Ovis aries: one gene and its partners. The protein of the gene in region 3 purifies or fractionates together with the protein of the main gene of each other region. This does not show direct contact. Links are inferred from orthologs where the notes say so. Each region holds a gene or a part of one and is shown on either strand. Other genes may lie near its edges.

Evidence for each region.
Region 1: the proteins of LLGL2 (region 3) and PARD6G purify together in Homo sapiens (affinity purification with mass spectrometry; 4 studies listed by BioGRID and IntAct, counting the BioPlex papers as one, with this or other methods). This does not show direct contact. The link is inferred for Ovis aries from reciprocal best matches to the Homo sapiens genes LLGL2 and PARD6G.
Region 2: the proteins of LLGL2 (region 3) and KBTBD7 purify together in Homo sapiens (co-immunoprecipitation; 4 studies listed by BioGRID and IntAct, counting the BioPlex papers as one, with this or other methods). This does not show direct contact. The link is inferred for Ovis aries from reciprocal best matches to the Homo sapiens genes LLGL2 and KBTBD7.

What each region holds. Positions count from the first base shown.
Region 1 is NC_056076.1:518,070-521,814, forward strand, and holds the start of PARD6G (partitioning defective 6 homolog gamma), read left to right. Parts: upstream 1-1,133; 5' UTR 1,134-1,330; coding exon 1,331-1,402; intron 1,403-3,745. UniProt on the Homo sapiens protein: Adapter protein involved in asymmetrical cell division and cell polarization processes. May play a role in the formation of epithelial tight junctions. The PARD6-PARD3 complex links GTP-bound Rho small GTPases to atypical protein kinase C proteins.
Region 2 is NC_056063.1:11,790,174-11,793,918, forward strand, and holds the start of KBTBD7 (kelch repeat and BTB domain-containing protein 7), read right to left. Parts: upstream 2,335-3,745; 5' UTR 2,055-2,334; coding exon 12-2,054; 3' UTR 1-11. UniProt on the Homo sapiens protein: As part of the CUL3(KBTBD6/7) E3 ubiquitin ligase complex functions as a substrate adapter for the RAC1 guanine exchange factor (GEF) TIAM1, mediating its 'Lys-48' ubiquitination and proteasomal degradation.
Region 3 is NC_056064.1:55,338,093-55,341,737, reverse strand, and holds part of LLGL2 (LLGL scribble cell polarity complex component 2), read left to right. Parts: intron 1-1,021; coding exon 1,022-1,103; intron 1,104-1,301; coding exon 1,302-1,417; intron 1,418-1,711; coding exon 1,712-1,870; intron 1,871-3,497; coding exon 3,498-3,645. UniProt on the Homo sapiens protein: Part of a complex with GPSM2/LGN, PRKCI/aPKC and PARD6B/Par-6, which may ensure the correct organization and orientation of bipolar spindles for normal cell division.

The DNA of each region.
Region 1 (3,745 bases), on a different chromosome or scaffold from region 3:
CCTTTTTCTCCTGTGAATTCAACTAAGAAAAAGTGATATATAATCTACTGAATTGGGTTGTAAATTTGTGTAGCACGCTTCACAGAACTCTTGAAGCACCTACTGGTCCTGTGTTCTTGGCTTCATCAGAGATTCCTCAAGAGCGAGGATTTCGGTTTCCGCAGCCCCGCTTCCAAGAGCGCTCTAGACAGGAAGCACCCACGACATTGCTCACACCTGACGATGTCTTTCTTCCGTTTCTCGCTTCTGCCAGCCCTGGCAGAAGTCTTCCTTCTCATCAGACAGGCCTATGGGTGCTTCTGACCCTTCCGAACCCTTTACCTTTGGCCTGTGCTAGACTACGCCTTAGGATGTTGCCTCCGTGCAGAACCTCTGCCCAAACCATCTACCACCTGGCAGCTCTAACGGACAGATGGACCCAAGGGGGTCAGGCTTCCGTGAGTCCAGTATCACCCAAGACAACGTTGAAAATCAGCCAAAACAGACCCCTTTCCTGGACGACGGGAGGAGGCTAACAAAATCTTGGCGGAAGCGAGCAAGGGAGAAAAAGTGTGGACGTCCCGGGCGAGTCAACCGGGCTTCTCTCCCCTGCTCTTGATTTTGCGGACGGGAGTGAACACCCACCCGGCAGCGGCGTCCTCGGGGGCGGGCCCGTGGGCGGGGCTCGGGGCGGGGACTGGCCGGGGGCGGGCCGACGAGCCCTGGGTGGGGCGTCGGGTGAGTCCTCGGGACGGGGGGCGTGTCCTCCAGACTCGGAGGGTGGGGCCTCAGGGCGCGAGGCTGGGCCTTGAGGCTCGTGGGGCGAGTCCCCGGGATGTGAGCCGGGTTTTCTCAGCGCCGGGCCAGTCCTTAGGGAACCGGATTAGCGGCGGGTCTACAGGGCGCCGAGCGGGACGTGGGCCCTTGGGGCTCGTGGGGCGGGTCCTCGGGGCTCCGGGCGGGTCCTCGGGGGACGGGTGCTCTGGGCCCGGGGCGGGGACTGGCGGCGGGTATTCTGGGCGCTGGGCAGGGATTGGTGGCGGATCCTCCGGGCTCGGGGCGGGACGTGGGTTCTAGGGTATCGGGGGGCGGGTCCTTGGGGCGGCGCGCGCCGCCGTACCCCGCTCCTCCCGCGCGCGGCCCCTTGAGTGCCCAAGGCGCGCGGCCAGCCCTGCTCGGGCCGCTGCACTCGAGCTGCCCCGCGGCCGAGCGAGCGCGGGCAGGGGCCGGGGCCGGGGCCGGGGCCGGGGCCGGGGCCGGGGCCACGGCGGCGGGTGGCGCACCCAGGGTCCTTCTGCAGTCCCCATAGCGAAGAGCGAGGGCGAAGCCAAGGCTAAGCGGGGCCGGAACCATGAACCGGAGTTTCCACAAGTCTCAGACCCTGCGCTTCTACGACTGCAGCGCGGTGGAAGTCAAGAGCAAGGTGAGCCGGGGGCCGGCAGTCTGCGCACCCCCCCCAACGCCCCACGAATGAATGGGCACCCCGAAGGGGACTGGGCGGCGCGAGAGGGGCCGGCGCCGACCACAACTTCGGAGCGCGGCGCGCGTCCGTGAGATGCGCCGGGGTCCCTCAGTCCTTCCCGCCCCTGCGCGCGCACAAAGCCCGGCAGCCCGGTAAGGTTCGGCTCGAGCCCCGGCGCTCGGAGGGCCGCGCGGCCGCCCGACCCTTTGCGAGAGTGGCTCTTTTGTTCCACAAGCCGGCGGCGATCCGGCGCACCGCGCGGTGGAGGGGCGATGTTTCCGGGGCGACCCGGGGGCTGATCGGATTCGGGGCCCTGGAGGGGCCTTGGGGGCCCGGGCCGGGGAAGGGCCCTGGCTGCGCCGCCTCCTTCGCAGCGGAGGAACCTTGGAACCGGCGAGGGGGAGACACGCAGCGGGTCCTCGATCCCCGGACCGGACCCCCAGTCCCCAGCACGGCCCTGCATACCAGCCCCTCAGCCTCCCGACGCGCCCCAGGCCCAGATTCCCCGGGCGCGCCGGACCAGCGGCCCCTCCCGCTGCCCGCGCCCGGGCCCAAGCGTGCCCGAACTTGCGGGTGGCTGTGCGCTTTGGATAATTGGCTGATAGGATCTGGCGCTTCTGCCCGTTGCGGGGGCGGCACCTTCGCGGCAGAAGCTTTTGTCTGCGAGGGTCTCAGGGGTGGACCTTGCCGCAGATGAAGAGCAGCAGTTGTTCGGGGTCCTGGAGGAGGGGGCCTCGGGCGTACCGCTGCCTGGGATCGGCTTTCGCCCCTTCTCTGCGCTCCCCCCGCTCGGCGCGGTCAGGCAAGGAGGAGAACCCCAGTGGTGGTAGACGGGCCAGACCCGAGGGTGGGCTCTGACCTCCAAGTCTGTGCACACTTGGTCGCCGGCGTGTGTGTCCTGGTTCGCTCTCTGGGAAGACTAACCCGATGGCCCCTGTCTGGGCTGCCCGTACCAATCAAGGTGGGGTCCTTTGACATAGGATTTGCAAGGCTTCCTCCGAGGATGGGGGTTCTCTGCAGGAGTCCCACAGAATGAGTTGTGGGATTTCGTCACATCTTGTTGGGCAGTCTATTTATGAACCCTCATATCTAATTACCTCCAATGCTAATTCTGTGACCCTGGCCCAGCACTCATCTCTTTTTAGCCCCAGAACTCCCCACACCCCCAAATCAAAAGTGACCTCTGTGAGTTGTGTGGGGGGGAGGAACCAACAAGCCTGAGTGGGAGCACCAAATAACTGACGTTTCTTCAACTCAGTGGGAATGTGGCTTCTTAGAACTCATTGTCCCCTGACAATAGCCACTGAGCACCCATGGTGTTTCACTTTAACTATTTATTTTGAGATCATCATAGATTAACAGGCAGTTGTGAGAAAGAACACAGAGGCTTCCCCACAGGTACCGTCTTGTATCACAGTGTCACATCCAGGGCCTTGCGGTGTTTTCAGGTCAGTTTGTCATGCGTGCGTTCCTGAGGCAGTCTCCACGAGGACCACTTCCATCGCGAGGGGACCTCCTGGCAGCCTTTCACCCCTGCAAGGTGGCTGTTTGGTTCTAAGTGATGAACACCCCAGGCTGTTCACGAATCTCGCTGGCCGAATGCCCTGGGCTCTGCAGCCATGGTGGCAGGCAGCTGCCTGACCAGATGCAACTCCGGAGGGCTAGCCCTGGAGGAAATGCCCTCACCAGCCTTTATCCTGCAGTCGTGCGCTCTGGACACGGTGGACCCCTGAGGCCTGAAGAGTAAGAGTCTGCCTTTGCCTCTCCCAGGGAACTGGGGGCCATAGGTGTTCTGGTGGCCCAGTGGGTTACCTCAGGCTGCCCCTCCTCCTTGACCCCCAGTGAAGAAGGAGGGCTGCCCCATGGCCCGAGCCTGGGTTCAAGTTCAGATGCAGTGACTGCTCCACCAGGGGTGAGTGGCAGAGGGGCAAAGTTTTGGTTGAATTTGGGAACAGTCCTGGAGGGCCACACCAGGCTGGGCCCTGCTGGGCTGGCTGGTTATACACACAACACCACCGCCCCAGGCCCTTTTCGATAAGGTGGTTTGTCTTACTGTCTGTCCAGTGGGGCCACCTGGCTCCCCCTTCTGTACCACTCTGTCACCCACCCACGGAGTCCATCTCTGCAGGGAGCCTTATTCCAGCTGCTCTTGTCAAAATATGGGAGGCAAACCATTATGACAGTGATGTTTTTATCCAATCTAAATGGTTCACCATAACACCTGGGTTTGCATGTGAAGAAAAATCGTGCCAAAATCCAGCCAGTTCTACCACCCAACCTTGTGAGCTTTCAGACAAGTCATTT
Region 2 (3,745 bases), on a different chromosome or scaffold from region 3:
TTTCAAAATATTTACAAAGAACCCTGCTGATCCTGTGCATTTCGCTGAGGGGCTACCTGTACCCAGACTTCATCATCAGAAAAAGAACTTGAACTTCCTGACTCAGAGTCCAGTTCACTGAACCCATCTAAGTCCCATTCAGTACTAGACTCACTCCGTGCATCATCTTCCTCAGTGATGAAACTCTGACCAGGTTCAAGGCAGGAAGGATAAACCCGAGCACAGAGACAAATAAAGCCAGAGTCAAACTGCAGAAGACCTAACATGGTCCCTATATTAATCCACTGGTCTTCCCTTGTATCATATTCATACACAGTTACCCGGTTTTTTTTCCACTGAGGGGTTGTAGAAGTGATGAGGAGCAACTTTTGGCCATGATTGACAATCTGGTAGTTGTGGGTCTCCGAGTCCAGGGGAATATTGCTAATACGCCTCCATTCTCCCCGGGCTGGGTTATACACCTTCATGACTGGGATGTCACAGATGCAGTAGATCTCATCATTGAAGACACAGGCTTCCTGAAAGTCACTCCGTTTAAGAGAAGCACAGTTCAGCCACATATTATGGCTAGGATCATAGCAGAGCATGCGCTTACTATTCACAGCATAAAGATAGTTCTGAACCACTATGAGTTCAAAGGAATAGAAGGAATGTGGTACAGGAGCCACTAAGGCCCACTGGTTCCTCTGAACACTGTAGCACTCCACTTCCTTTAACTTCACTCCAGTAATGGGGTCACGCCCACCCAGGATGTAGATGTAGCCATTGAGGTATGCCACGTCCATGCCCTCCCGGCAGAGCAGGCGGTCGGCAAGTTGCTGCCAACTATTCTGGGCTGGTTTATACACCCAGAGATCCTTCCTGGGCTGGGCAGCTAGATAGATGTCATGGTCTGGAGAGACACAGACAGCTGAAGAGGTGACAGTCTTAGTGTGAGCCAAACTGGTCAAAGGTGATGGCATTGTGTAAATGTCCCCCGAGTATGGATCATAGCACAGAAAGGGATCTCTGGGATGGCCAAAGAAGATGACCATCTCCTTGGCACACATACCCAGCCTCTGGGGTGGATTTTCTGCTATGGACACAACAGAGCTACTGCTGCTGCTCTCTGGCTTGGGCACCAGGGACTTGCACAACATGTCACCATATCGCATCTGCAGGGCCCCTTCAACAAGGTCCAGACAGTACTTCTTTACAATGGGCTTGGTCAGCAGCTCTTCCACGTAGCCCCGATCTTCGTCAGTGAAGTGGGTCCAGCGGACACACTTGAAGACTTCTGCAGCGCTGGGACCCCGCTCCTTGGGAGCCGCCTCCAACCACTGCACCGCCACGTGACACACGGTCCGCTCACTCTCGATGTCTAGACTGTCCAGGCGCAGGACAGCTAGCAGCTGGGCCAGGGTCAGATCTGCCAGCGACTCTTCCCGAATCGAACCCATTCGGCTGAGCTGCTTGAAGTTGTGGGCTATAAAGGACTGGGCCTGTGATCGCAGCTTGTGATGGTCGAAGGCGTCGGCGAACTTGAGGATGGCCGTGCAGTTGGCCAGGTCAAGGCGGCGGGCTAGGAAGGAGGCACAGGCTTCCCGCACGTACTCCAGCTGCAGCATGTCGGAGGCCGCGTAAAGGCGCTGCACGTTGGCCTCACTTAATGACACGCGACCGGTGTAGCAGTAATCGACCAGCACCTCGAAGGACTCGGCGTCCACGTCGTGCATGGTCACGTTCGTCTGATGGCTCTCGTACATGCCGCCGGTGAACATGCTCTTGAAGTAGGGACACGCGGCCGCCAGCACGTTACGGTTGCAGGAAAAAAGGCGGCCCGTGCCAGGCCCGCTGCCGGGGGTGACCACCTCGATGGTCACATCACAGAGCAGCCGCGCGTCGTAGAAAGACTTGAGCTGGGCCAGCAGGGCTGCAGAATGGCCCGTGTCCTTCAGCTCCTCCGGGCCCGTGAAAAAAGCCGAAACTGAGGGCTTGGAAATCCTCTTGGGACGCCTCCCGCCGCGGGGACTGGCGAGGCGGCGAGAGCGCGGAGCTTCTTCCCGGGACTGCATGGTGAAGAGGGCGGCGGGGAGAGAAGGACGAGAACCGGGCTCTGGCGCCTCCTCGCTCTCTTTTCGCTGACGCCGAGACCGCTGTGTCCCTGAAAAGACTGCCGCGCTGACTTAAGTCAGCCCCGCTCCGCGGTGCCGCCTCCCTTTATCGCGTAGACAGTGCCTGACTCACCCGGTTCCAGTTCCACGCCCTTTCTCCGCCTCAGCTCGCCCTCACAGGACCTACAAACTGGAACCAAGCGGTCCGCCACCGCCGCGCTGGCAATACCGGTAGGTGCCTAGGAGAACTACAGCTCCCAGGTTGCCTTTCGCGCCTCGAGGCATGCCGGGACCCCGCGGACTCTGCGGCTTAGGCCGCCTCACAGGAGCCGCTGTGCATGTTGGGATCAGTAGTTCCAGTAATATCGCGAGGCTTCTGGGGGTCTACTGCTTTAACTAACAGAATCAGCAAGCGTTTATTCCAGATTTGATGGTTTAGAGCTGTGGGTTTGAAGTCTAGAGTGGAAGTCCCGTTTTAATATTCACCAGTTGTGTAAATTTTTTGTCAGAACTTTTCCCTGTCTGGAAATTGGGCATAATAGTATTTCATAGGATTCTGGGAGAATGGAATGATCTAAATTTCATAGGACATAGGATGCTTCAATAAATACTTGTTGATTAGATTAATAATTGTTTACACTGTGACTAAAATGCAAATATTGAGTAACTGTTGGCTTTTCATTTAGAATTTATGAAAAATGAGGCATCCACTTATTCGAAACCATGAGCAATTTCTACAAAGAAAACTGTGTTTACTGTTGCTTCTTGTAAGGCTCGGAGAACCGCGCTCTGAAAGGAACATTCAGGGACAGCCTCTAGTGGACTGACAAAGTTGATTATCCAGCTGCGCAGTTTTATAATTCTCAGGGAATAGAGCATAAGGCAGACTTGCACGTAGCCATTCCAGATAAACATTAAAGCATTCAAGCATAAAATACAGTTCCCACCACCTAAGACATAACGTGACTTTGGCAAAACTCTAAAGGGAGTCTTATCGTGAAACAACAGTCCTTGCTCCCAGGAAACAGGTGGTCATAAGGAAGCCTTTGAACGCTTCAAGGCCGGGCGTACTGACCCTTCGTCATCCGTTTCCAGCCTCAGGCACTCGATGCACGCTCATAACCCTCCGTTATGCTCGTTCCAGCTCCCAACCTTCGTCATAAGTGGAGCAAATACATTTTCCATGTCTGCTCAAAGCCTTCCAGCTCCTCCTTATCTCCTCCCTTTTTCCTTAAGAGCAAGGACTGCTGCAGCCACAGTTACTCCTGTTTTTTGGACGGAGGTGACTCGGGCACATAACGTTCGGAATCCTACAAGAACAATAACAAACAATAAACAGATCAGCGCATAAGTAGCCATCGTATGGGGTACCCAATTTTTTGGATTTAGAAAGGAGGTACTAGTGGATAGTGCATTATAGAAGTCAGTGTTCTATAACACAGGGGGAATGCTGCTGAAGGTAGATGTGATTTGTTGCTTCAATTTTTCTATATCTAGACTGTTTGATTTTGAACCTAAAAGATGTAACTTTATTTGTTCCCAAGGATATTCAGTGGCATTGTAGGGCATATTGGGCAAACAGAAAGTAGTGAAATTCCAGTGACACCGCAATTCAATTGTACCTGTAAAGCATGCAGATCATCCCCCGCATA
Region 3 (3,645 bases):
GAGTCAGCCCTGAATGCAGCGAGTGCAGGGAGGGGATGGGCTGAGCAGTGGTGCTGCGGTTTGTTTCTCTTTCCCCACCCCCACCCCGGAAGAATTAGTCGACTGGCCCCAGGGCTCTGTCCAAACTAGAGACAGGGTGGCCTTGAGTCAAAGGAGCTGTCCTAAGGCAGCTGCTCTTCTAGTTTCTACCCCTGGTCATGTGCACTCCCTCATACACATACAGATACACACACAGGTTGGCAGAGACAGTCTACATAGACACACACACGCACGCACACAGGTTGGTTGTCCTTACAGTCTTTCCCTGGCCTGAGGGTCAACATGGTCCAGTGGGTCTATTCAGAAGCCAGGATGGGGGATCACTGCTCAGGTCATCTGGCCTGGGCTGGGCTACAAGTCTGTGAGTCCCACCCTTGGATCTGACCTGAGCCCCCAGGGTGAGACCCAGGGGGACTGGGAGGTGGGGGTAGGGGTCACACGGGGAGAGCCCAGCTGGCACTTTCGGCAAAGCAGTAACTCCCTCCTGCTCCTCTGCTGCCGGATGGGGGTGGGGAGCTAGGCAGGGGGTGGTGTACGCACAGGGGTGCAGAGGCCAGGTCCCACAGGGCTCAGCCCTCCCTCAGCTGGTTAATCATTGCCAGCCCACGGCCATATCCTGGTTACAGCTCTCAGTGCTAAGACTCGCGCTCCCGGTTGCCGTGGGTGGGCCCACAGGTGCCCGCTGTGTGTCTCCTCACCAGTGCCACCATGTGGTGGCTGATGGTCTCCTACAGCTCAGGTTTTGGGGTTCAGGGAGAACGGGGCTGCAGTGGGCAGGCTGACAGTTGCCAAGATGAGGCTTCACCCTTCTAAGAAGACAGCCCCGCCGGCCTACTTCTGCCTCCTCCCCACCTGACCCCCCCCCACACAGAGGGGTCCCGCTGCCTGGGGGAGGGAGCCCCTCTCTGCTGAGTACTTGCACTCCGGGAGTGGGAGGAGGGTCCTGCCTTCTGGAGCTGTTTCCTGAGCCCTCCCCTCCTAGCTATGGTGCCCCAGGGGTGGAGTTCATGGGCCTGCACCGCGAGAACAATGCTGTGGTGCAGATCCACTTCCTGCCTGGCCAGGTGAGCCCACCCCACGCCCTTCTTAGTGGGTTTGGTGCTAATGAGAGGACCCGGGACAAACTTGCCTTTTCCCAGCCGCAGTTCATGACCCGCATCTCTGCAATGACACCCTGGGCAGCCCCGGTGTGTTGAGGCCACGGGAACACTGCCCCGCCCTGGTTAATGAGACCGGCCACTCCCGCCCCGTTCCCTCCCCAGTGCCAGCTGGTCACCCTGCTGGATGACAACAGCCTGCACCTGTGGAGCCTGAAAGTCAAAGGTGGGGTGTCGGAGCTGCAGGAAGATGAGACGTTCACGCTACGTGGCCCCCCAGGGTGAGAACTCAGTCTTGTCGCCCCCAGCCAGGAAGCAGGCTGGGCTGCGGGCTGCCCCCCCCCACCCCATCCTGAGCCCCAGCTCTCTGCCATCGGTCTGCAGCCTTGGCAGAAAACAGTAAATATGTTTATGCGGTCTGAATCGCTGTGGACGCCATTAAAGGGCACCCCAGGCCTGGGTGTCCCTGGCGCCACTGAGGGAATTGCGGGATTCCGCCCCCCCACCCACCCCCGCCGTGGGTCCCCCTTTGCCTGGGCAGTAGCCGGCTCACAGGCCGTCCTTCCCATCTGCAGGGCTGCCCCCAGCGCCACGCAGATCACTGTGGTCCTGCCACACTCCTCCCGCCAGCTGCTCTACCTGGGCACCGAGAGTGGCAACGTGTTCGCAGTGCAACTGCCGGCCTTTCACGTGCTGGAGGACCAGGCCATCAGCTCAGACGCCGTGCTGCAGCGGTGAGCCCCGGGCCCCTCATGCCCGCAAGGTGGACGCGGCCCACTCCCTTCCACCCCAGTGATGCCTCAGGAGCTTATCATTTCTCTCCTAGAAAGTCTGTGGGGACAGGAGGGCAGACTCTGAGCACCCCCCAACCTGTCCCCCAAACTGAGAATCTCGCCCTCCAAAATATTAGCACCCCAGCACCAAAAGGGGTCTTGGGAGTACTTGTCATCCCATTTAAAGAGGAGGAAAAGGAGGCTCATAAAGACCGTGCAACAATGCCGCTCTCAGCCCGGTGTCCCTGGCACCGGTACCACCCCTTTCAAAGCCCGGGGGCTCTGCCACAGGGCAGACAAGGCCCAGACCTCCCTGGTCGAATTCTGCTGATGCTCACATTTTGGAGTCTTGGCTACTTGTTCGCTCACAGGCAGGCTCCACGGCCCCAGACACCCGACGGCCACAACGTGTAGGGTTCTTGGGATCGTTTCAGAATCTTTGCTCCTGGACGGTGGTGTCTGAAGTAGAGAGGAGTTCAGATCAGGTCTGGGAATGGGGAGGGCGTGCCAGGTCCCCAAAGGGAGGCAGCGGAAGAGTCCAGCAGGAGCCGGTGGAGACCGCAGGGCCGGGATATGCAGCCCCTTCAGGCTCGAGCTTCCTCAGGGCTCCGGCCCATGCTTGGGGCTGGGTCCCTCTGAGCGCTGGGCAGGGTAGAGTCACACTGGGCAGTGTGACCGTGGTTGGAGCAGGACTGTTTGCAGGGGGCCGGGCATGGCTGGTGCTCAACAGGGCCGCCTGGCCTGCAGGCAGGACAGCGGAAGGACCTACTCCTCATTGTGGCCGAGCCAGCACCCACCTCACCCACACCGATGGGCATTTAGTCGGTCAGGGAGGAGCCCTTGCTGGGCTTTCCTAGCCTGAGTGCCCTGGGAATCCCTCCTATGAGTTTAAATCCTTGTTTTAAATGTACCATGTTAGGTTTGGGTTTGAGCATAGAAGCGCCCTCAGGATTCAGGCTGTTTCCATTTCATCCTTGGTGTTGGCTCTTGGTCCCGTGCCTGCTGCCTCATAGGCTTCTGTTGGCTGCAACACCTCCAGACTTCACATCAGCATTCCAGGCCCAGAAGAGGAGGAGGGGCTCAAGGCCACAAGAACTGATAACAGAGTTTTGTTTTGTGGGGCTTAAAAACTATTTTTATGGAATGCCACTGCCTTACAGAAATGCACTAAATTTGAATGTACATTTTAACAGATTCTTGTTAAGCGAGTGTCCATGCAGCCAACTCTGGGCAAAGACAGAACTTTGCCAGCCCCGCCCCTACCAACCCAGGATCCCCCTCCTGCCCCTCTCAGTCACAACTCCCTCCCTCCCCCAGAGGTAACCATCACATGGACTTTCCTAGAAACCACATCCTGGCCTTTCCTGGTGGTTGTACCCCCTGTGTCTGCATCCTTGGGGGGTTTTCTCCGTCTCTATGCATTCCTTCTCTCTCCCCTTGACGACGCATCTTAGCAGTCTTTCCATGCTTGACACGTTCAGCGCCCACTGCTTTGCAGGTGCTATGTGTGTAGTTAATGGGTGGCCAACACTCTCAGCCGTGCTGCGTTGGTGGCTGGTGACCTGGCTCACAGTGTCCCTTTGCCCAGGTTGCCAGAGGAGGCACGCCACCGGCGGGTGTTTGAGATGGTGGAGGCTCTGCAGGAGCATCCCTGGGACCCCAACCAGATCCTTATTGGCTACAGCCGGGGTCTCGTCGTCATCTGGGACCTGCAGGGCAGCCGCGTGCTCTGTCAT